2 linked regions of the Drosophila melanogaster genome follow. The protein of the gene in region 2 interacts with the protein of the main gene of each other region in a pairwise test. Each region holds a gene or a part of one and is shown on either strand. Other genes may lie near its edges.

Region 1 (3,882 bases), on a different chromosome or scaffold from region 2:
ACATACGAAAAAGTTAGCAAATTGGCTACCTTTTAAGTGCTCTTAAATTATGCATTCCTATAAGTATTCCCTATACAATGTATAGTCCAAAAGGTAATTGGTTCGCACGAAGGAACCATTCGAAACAAATTCTTTTCAAAAGTGTAAATATATTGGCGTAGGCGGGAGAAAATAACTCCACTTTTTCGTAGAAGTGGCTTGGCGCATCTGTTGGGTTCGCCTGCCACAGAAATTCGTGACCTGAAGAGGCAAAAGGGGGCGTGACCCAGATTTGAAATACCCATGTTCTGCAGCATCTTTTGGTGTCTCCTTAAACTGATTCTGGGACTCATAACTTGAAGAGTCAAACGGTCATCGCCAAATGTTCACGACTACTGTTCGAATGTTCTTTCAAAGGTCGGTCTTCCGATAATTGGCCGTTTTTCTTTTGCAGCCTTTGATTATTTGCTCAAATATATTTTTAGTGCATTCTTTATGTAAGGTAGTTTTGAATAGTAATAGCCACATAAAAATAAAAGAAATAGTTACATTATAAAAGTAAAACAAATTTATTTCTGTTAAATCGTTCGGTATCTCTAAATCTAAGCCTCGGTGTCCTTATTTATTATGCCCGGATCGTTAGAAAATATGAGCCTCTTCTGCGAGGTATTCATATAAGGTCGGTTAATCCATTCCGTGTCAGCTGCCTTGATGTTCTCCAAAGTGCCGAGCTTAATTTGGTACAGCTTCAGTGAGAATCTGGGGCCCACTTCGGTAAGCTCCAACTCCTTGTTCACATATTTGTACTGATGATGTCTGAATATAATCGAGTCATTGTGGTTTAGGAAAGACATAACTCTTTGGGAGTTCTCCTTGGGCACTGGGAACAAGTGTTTGAGTATCTTAACAGTTCTCAGGCCAATGGGCGTTTTAAAGTTATTAAAAATTAAGTGTGGCTTCTGCTCGCTCATGTGTCCAATGTCGGGTATATCATGTCGCATAACCACATCGGATATGTTGAAGAAGGCAGTTGGCCCGTACGGAAGATGACAGACCACAAGGCTGTCCGGGATGCCACGATGCTCATGGACAATTAGGAAATCGGTTACATTATTGGCACGACAGGCGTGCATTAGTGTAGTCAGCTGGTAGTTTCCTCTGTTCATCTGCTGCGCATTTGGGATAATCAGCCGCAGTTCCTTCATGAACATTTTCAATCTCGACGAAGGGTTGTGCGAGGTGGTCAGCATTATTTTCGGATCCTCGCATCCGGCATAGTGATACTCATCATTGACAGTGCGGTCATCGACACCTGAAATACATAGATCCTTTTTTAGTGCAAATGCTTTTATAATAATTCTATTTAATACACCAAATTTGAGATTCAACGTTATACAAAAATCTTTGTTAATAACGCCATTTAACATCTATACAACGTTTTATAGTTAAAGAAGGATCCTTTTCAAAAAAAGACGGTTTTATCTTCTCAAATCTCAGGACACACGCGTATAATTGCACTAAAATCAAAATTTAATATGTGGTGTCGCTGTCTGCCTTCTAAACACGCATAGAAAATTACTATTTACTAATTGTAATTGTTAGTTCTTAACTACCGATAAAATCTCGACTGGTTATTTGGGAAACACGAATGCTACCTTTGTAAGCTCTTGGGATTTTAGCTTTCAAACGAAAACATCTGTATTGCAGATTCATCTAACAGCATAATTGCGCTATCATCTAACAGCATAATTGCACTGTCTTGAAACTATTTAAACATTATTTAATAAATGTTATATTGATATTTACCCTCATCCGCGTATTTCAGCGACTTGTAGGCGGTGAGACTTTTCTTCACATTTTTGGAGCCAATTGCTTTGTTTTCATTAATGCTTTTCACAACGGTCTCCTGGATTTTTTGTTTGGACTTGAGGCGCTCAGTGAGCGCTTTATTGTACAGGTATTCCCTTCGCTGTCTGGCTTGTTTTCGCAGCATTTTTATTTGTTATTATATTTCTGGTTGCACGTGTGCTGTTGAAAATAAATGAAAACAATACCCACACCACTGGATCACAGCCGATAACTTATCGATAGCTGCTGATGAAACGAATGGAAAGAAACACGGTGGATAATTCTATACCATATGTTTATTTTCAAAACTAAATAGTAATACAAGTAATATTTACTTGCAGGCTGTAAACATGTTGTTTTATTATTTATTCAGTAATCTGTAATGAATAAGCAAAATATATAAAATATTTATCAGTGACACTCATGAGATTTTAAAAAGCCCAGGGCCTTGCCGCTATCTTGACTAACACAAATATTTACGACTGTAAAATGTGCTAGTTGTTTAGTGTTTTTGCGCATTGTTTAAACAAAAATGCATTTATCATGGGTTTCGCTGTAGCCAAATCCCAGGACCAAGCAATATCCATTGCTTACATTGGTTAAATAAGGAGTTATGCACATATCTTGCTCGTTGCGGTAAAAAATTATGGCATCGTCGGTTGGCGGCCTAAAAAACATAAACAATTTGCGGCGAAAACATTGTTTACGCAAAACCTGAAAATGGTAAATAAAAAAGTTGACTTGCAAGAGTCTCAGAGTAATATTAAGTGTAAATACTATTTTGGCACCATTTTAGCAACATCTTCACATGTGTTTGCTTTGCTTAATTGCATTAGCGATACTTTCATATTTCGTCCATCAGCGACCTTCCTGGGTAACCGAAAACAAGGGAAAGATGCTCGGCTATAACGAATTGTAAGTGGAGATCAGAATATATATCACATATAGAAATAAAAAAAAACCATATATTTTATTAGTCCGGAATATAAAACTTTAGCTTTCACCTCCGGTTTTATGACCTCTTTCATTTCGGCCATTCCGGTTGTTATAGTTTCCCTGTTGCCAAACAAAGGCCCATAATGGAAAAGCAAATACACAAGGCGTGTTTGCATTTAATCAGATGATTCACTTAAACTTTCCAAGTAAACAAGTATAAAATTACCTTGCAGGCAGACTGGGAAACCCCCGCTTTACATCGTGGTGGTCTCCTGCGGTCAGAGGGTGCAGGAGACTCTGGTTATGATTAAGTCAGCCATTCTGTTCAACTACGACGAGGAGTACCTCAAGTTTGTGATCTTCACGGAGGACGGGAAGGGTGATGAGTTCAGGGAAAAGTTGACCGACTGGCGCGATATCAAGCCGTTTACATTTGACTTTGAGATTTTGCCACTGAAGTTTCCCAGTGGCAATGAAGTCGAGTGGAGGAATCTCTTTAAGCCATGTGCAGCTCAACGTCTCTTTTTGCCGGTAATTACTTCATACATCCATATAATTCCAAGAGTAACAAACCCTTATTTTTCTAGTCATTGCTAACGCATGTGGACTCATTGCTGTATGTGGACACGGATATATTGTTTTTGTCGCCCATCTCGGATATCTGGCGATTCTTTAAGAAGTTCAATGAGACGCAAATGTCCGCACTGACGCCCGAGCACGAGAACGAAAACATTGGCTGGTACAATAGATTTGCACGACATCCATTCTATGGCCGACTGGGCGTTAATTCCGGCGTTATGCTAATGAATCTCACACGGATGAGAGAAATGAAATGGGAACAGCATATCGTGTCTATTCATAAGGAGTACAAGCTACGCATTATTTGGGGGGATCAAGACATAATCAACATACTATTTTACTATCATCCTGATAAGCTGTACATCATGCCATGCGAATACAACTACCGTCCAGATCACTGCATGTACATGAGCATTTGCAATATGTCTCAAACTGGCGTTAAGGTTATCCACGGAAATCGTGGTTATTTCCATTCAGACAGGCAGCCACTCTTTAAGAGTATCTACGGGGCTATGGAAAACTACCAACTGGGCTCCAACG
Region 2 (5,207 bases):
CTTGGTCTTTTCCGGTTTACCCTTTTTCTTAACCACGCCCTCGATGCTGGCGCTCTTGTTCAGCGACTTGGGCTGCGGTTTCTGTACTTTAACCATATTATTTTTTGCTTTTTTGACAGATGCGTAAAAACTCGAGCAAAACTATATTTAAAATGCACCACAACCACACGTGCTACGCTTTAATATCGATATGTTCAGAATCGCAAAACGTAGCTACAGTCGATATCGGGAACTATTTTCATTACCGATGTCTCAGGCACGGTCACAACTTTAGCCAATACACACCCCCTTCGCAGGGCCGAGCACCAATAGCAGCTGTTTCACCAAAACCGATTGGAAAATTGACCGTTATAGCATATCGATTTCGATTTGTATCCCATCTCTATTTCTCCCTTAGAAGATAAAATTAAATTTTTTAATTTTGTAATGTAATATAGAAATTATGATGATGATTATATGATTGAGTATTTCTACTCTAATCCAACAAAAAAACAAGTGGCTACGTTACTTGCTTTGCTTTCTTTAATTAGGGTACTATTTACATAGCAAACAGTTATTTTAAGTAAATAATTCTAAGAATAGTCAAATTCCGCAAGCTGCACGCGTGCCTAATCGCCTCAACAGGACACAGAATGTCCTTGACTCACACGCCGCCACACACAAAGCGCCCACGCATCACATACACATACGATGGATCCGCGCACATGGAACATTAAAAGTACCGACACATGGCATCTCCCATGGAGCACCAAATTGGGGACTCCCCAGACACACAGTACATGCTAAAGATATTCTTGCAACAAGGATTGCTATGTGGGCATACGTGTGTGCTTGTGACAACTTTCTGGCACGTGACTGGAGACGAGAAAACTTTGCTGGCTTAAGGCAATTACAATATGAAGGAGTCCTAGCGTGTACGTTTAAAGCTTCAGCTTCTTGGCATCCGCCTTGGCGGTATCCTTTTTCGGTCGCTTTTTGGATGCTGTAGCCGCTGCGGTATCCTGCAGTTTGTGGAAGAAAGCCTTTGAGGACTTCAGAGCTCCCTGGTCGTTGCTGCTGGCATTGATCTGCAAGAAAATCGTTTAAAGTTTGATTCATTTAGAATTCAAAATCGCTCAAGAATAGCAATTAAATACAAAACATAAAACAGAGATAAACTAAAATGTTATATACCTTTTGAACATTGCGATTCTTGGTGATTGTCTTGAGCAGCTTGGCATCCGCTTCCTTCTTTGTGGGCGCCTTGCCCTCCTTGGCTCGCTGAAGCTCGCGCTGCTCCAGAGCCGAGTGGATGGCCCGCTGCTTTTGCTTCTTTTTGCGGCGCTCGCGGTTCTTATCCGTTCGATCGCGTTCGGTCTTGCCAAGTGGAGCGTGCTTGGGTCCGCGGAACACCTCCTCGGGTGCCAGCAGCTTGGCATCGCTCACCGCCAGCGGGGCCACCTCTTCCATGTGAACTGCTGGTGTGTTCGTTACGATCTTGATCTCCGGCGCCACCGGTTTCGGCGTGAAGTGGAAATTGGAGAGGGCGTCCAATTTAAGGAATAGGGAACGCATTGCCCGCTTGATTTCTTGGTGTTCTTTCGGTTCCGGACCAGTTTTGTCATCGGCATCGCGATTGGGATCGAGTTTTTCCATTTCGCGCTGATACTGCGCCTCGTAGATCTGCGACAGCGATTGTTTTGATTTCTCCTGGTCAAGCACAAGTTGTTTTCTGTACTCTTGCGGGGTGTTCACCGGTCGCACAGTGCGCTCCACATCGTCCCATGCTTTGTCGCGAATACGCTGCTTAATTATGTCCTCGATGGAGCGGTTATCCTCTTCCGTGATTGGCGCCGTTGGCCTGGTGGTCGAATCGAAGTCGAGAATCTCCTCAAGCAGTGAGTTCTGGGGCCGATTGGCTGCCTTTACTTCGCCTTTGAGCTGCCAAGGCTTCTCGCCTAGGACAATGTCTTCGTAGTCGCGGATGCGTTGAAACAAACGAGCCTCTCTCATCTCATTGGATGATTGGGACGGTGGCTCTGTGGGTTGTGGCTCCTCCTCTTCTTTCTCCGAATCCGAGTCTGAATCGCTGGCAGGTTCTATGCCACTTTTTGCCACGAATTCGGATTCATCTATTTCGCTGGCCGCCTCATCTGGATCTTGATCATTTTCAGGTTCATCATCGCCCTCGTCTCCTTCGCTTTGATCAGAATCGCCCTCTTTGGGATTTGCATCCTCATCCGGTTCATTTTCATTTTCACTCTCGTTTTCATTGAAGAAATCTTTCTGCTTGCCTTTGTTAATCTTTTTAGAATGCTCTGTCAGTTCCTCATTCATGTCAAAGAAGTCCGCATAGTTGACATTCCCCTCCTCATCGTCCTCCTCATCTTCGCCAAGACCAAAATCCTCTGCGAAATGATCTATATCATCGGCCTGCTCAACGCGTTTCTTGCTGTTCAGGCGGCGCATCTCCTTGGCATCCTCCTGCTCCAGGAACTCATTCATCTCTTCCAACTTGAAGAAGGTATCGTCCACCACAGAGTTGCGTAGTCGCTTGTTTCGTTTGTCTTTCGGCGGCGCGGTCTTCTGCTTTTGTAGCCCTCCATCCTCGTCGCTGAAGTCTGATTCCTCATCTTGTTCCTCATCGCCTGAGTCTTCAGCTTGTATTACTTCGTCTTCTTCCTCTATTTCTTCACCATCGTCCAGTTCAATGCCCAGGTGCTGCTCGCGCATCGCCGTCAGCCTGGCGGTTTGCTCCAGCACCTGTTGGAACACTAGTTCGTTGCGAATCTCCAGTTGCTGCCAGATCTGCTCCTCGTCCATTTGCTCCAGCACCAATTCCGGCAGCAGTTCCTTCTTGTTCGCCACATCCTCGCTGATGCTAACGGCGTATGTCTGCTGGATAAGCTGCTCGATGGCATTCACTTGTTCCGGCTGTGGCCTGAAATATAAATTGTTTTGACTACGTTTGAAAAAACACGTGCGCGGTCTTTGGAAGGAAAACAAACTGGAGAAAACGCTCTGGATTCTTGGTCAGCTGCTCGAAGTTCTCTGCGATTTCCTTGAAGACATTCGCCTCCTTGGATTTTTTACTTCCAATCATTTTTACTACTGCTTTCTGTGCTTAATTAAATGAAATATATATTCCAACAATTCGAGCGCAAGAGCGGGTCCAAAAACAACAACCAGTTGGTGAGAGATGGAACAGATACATAGAGATGAGCGCGTGATACAAGTACAAGTTTTTCCAAGCTTAAAAACTTTATGCGAGTTGGAATCCTGTTTTGAGCCAAAATTTGTTATTCCAAAAATAATAAATATATTTAACTTGAAGAAAACAAAGCTCTAAAAAAAATCATAATTGCTTACACAGTAGACCAGAAGCCGTATATCGTGACAAGGAAATCGATAATTTATCGAAGGCCTTTGCCACCACCAAGCCAGCTGTAGGCGGCTTTTTACAGGCGGAGTCCGTTCACAAAAACTATGCCCAACTAGAAGATGGATTCGAAGTTCTTTAAACTGCTCCTGCTGGGCGGCGCCGTGCGCTTCTACTTCTGTCGCACGCCGCTGGCTCCGATGATTGGCAACCGAGTGGAGTTCGCGACACCTTTAAATTCACACAAGCGCAGTAAGTAAACAAAGTAGACATCAAATAGATGAACAAGTCTGAATGGAGTTATTCTTGCAGTGCAAGAGGGGATATTTCTTCTACAGAGTGGCATTGATCCCTATCTGGGCGACCTGGTACACGAATCGCCGCTGATACTCAGCGCGCTCTCCGGATTGTTTCAAAAATACCCGCAGTTTCTGCCGATATTCTACATAATCCTGGATATCTGCACGGCGGCCCTGCTTTATGCGATGAGTCTGAGATTCGTCAAGCAAAAGCAGGATCAGCAGGACAAGGAGCGAAAGGAGTATGCCAAGGATACGGAAGAGCTGCAGTTTGGCCCGCTGGACAAGCTTGACATTCCGGAACTTGTGATCGTGGCATATCTTTTCAGTCCACTGACTGTTATGAGCTGCATTGGAATGACCTCCACCGTGATAAGCAATCTGTTCCTGGCTTTCTTTTTCTACTGCCTCGTGAAGGGAATGCTCATTCCATGCCTTCTAGTCCTCGCGTTCGAAACTGTCCGCAGCTTCTATCCCATTGTACTTATAGCACCACTGCTCCTGGTCTTTTCACGGAATTCGGTCAGGAGGGGTGTGGCTATAGCGGCGCTCTTTATCGTCAGTTGTCTAATCGTGGCAGTTGCGAACTATTTTGTGCTGAACAGCTGGAACTTCCTGGATGGAACGTTGGGTTTTATGTAAGCAAGAACTATCTTATTAGTTATCTGTTTGTATTTTTACGTATTTAACTATCTTACAGATTTTATTTCCGCGATCTACAGCCAAATATCGGTCTCTTCTGGTACTTTTTTACTGAAATGTTTGAGCACTTCCGCACCATGTTCCTAATCACATTCCAATTGAATGCCACCGTATTATACCTGGTGCCACTAAGTATTAAGCTGCGCAAGGAGCCCCTACTGCTAGCCACGGTATTGGTGGCCCTTATGGCCGTTTTTAGGGCGTATCCCAGCCTGGGCGATGTCGGCTTTTATCTGGCCTTGCTTCCGCTGTGGAAAAGATGTTGGAAATGTAAGTTATCTGGCTCACGTAGTTATTTCAACTGCTAAGCACTTTGGTAATTTCTTTCAGTCATGGCCCATGGCTTTGTGGTCTTTACGTTCTTCCTGGTCACTCTATCTATGATGGGAGCCCTTTGGCATTTGTGGATCTATGCAGGATCGGCAAATGCCAATTTCTATTTCGGTGCCACTCTTGCGTTTTCCACTGGGCAGATATTTCTAATCACCGATCTGCTGTTCGCGCACGTTAAACGTGAGTTCTGCTTGTTCAATGGTCAGAAGATTCTGATCGATGGCGAGGAAGCGAGGATAGTCTTAAAGTAAGCATTAACAGTATCAGTATGACGGACAGAATCCAGGAACTTTGTACAGATGCAGAATGCGCTTCCTAATGGCAGCCGAGCATACTCTTAAGATAAGTTAACTCCGAACAATATCAGATTAAACAAAATATTTTATTTGATTGTAATGGTTTTTTACTGATGTGAATAGCCCGTCTTCGTCTTGCGGTTGAGGAACTTGTACAAGTAGAGGATGCGTTTCTCCATTTCCCGCCACTTGGTGGGTCGGGCGATGGGATACTTGGAC

What was found.
Region 1: the proteins of CG13097 (region 2) and CG11920 interact in a two-hybrid assay, tested with the Drosophila melanogaster proteins (2 studies listed by BioGRID).

Annotation. Positions count from the first base shown.
Region 1 is NT_033777.3:25,073,027-25,076,908, reverse strand, and holds CG11920 (uncharacterized protein), read right to left. Parts: upstream 2,033-3,882; 5' UTR 1,973-2,032; coding exon 1,786-1,972; intron 1,292-1,785; coding exon 582-1,291; 3' UTR 527-581; downstream 1-526. Other genes in the region: shams, read left to right, coding at 2,548-2,550, 2,624-2,742, 2,997-3,294, 3,351-3,882.
Region 2 is NT_033779.5:8,511,673-8,516,879, forward strand, and holds CG13097 (uncharacterized protein), read right to left. Parts: upstream 3,197-5,207; 5' UTR 3,083-3,196; coding exon 2,988-3,082; intron 2,921-2,987; coding exon 1,174-2,920; intron 1,068-1,173; coding exon 921-1,067; 3' UTR 502-920; downstream 1-501. Other genes in the region: CG13096 (uncharacterized protein), read right to left, coding at 1-96; PIG-U (phosphatidylinositol glycan anchor biosynthesis class U), read left to right, coding at 3,481-3,610, 3,671-4,295, 4,358-4,629, 4,690-4,943; mRpL51 (mitochondrial ribosomal protein L51), read right to left, coding at 5,096-5,207.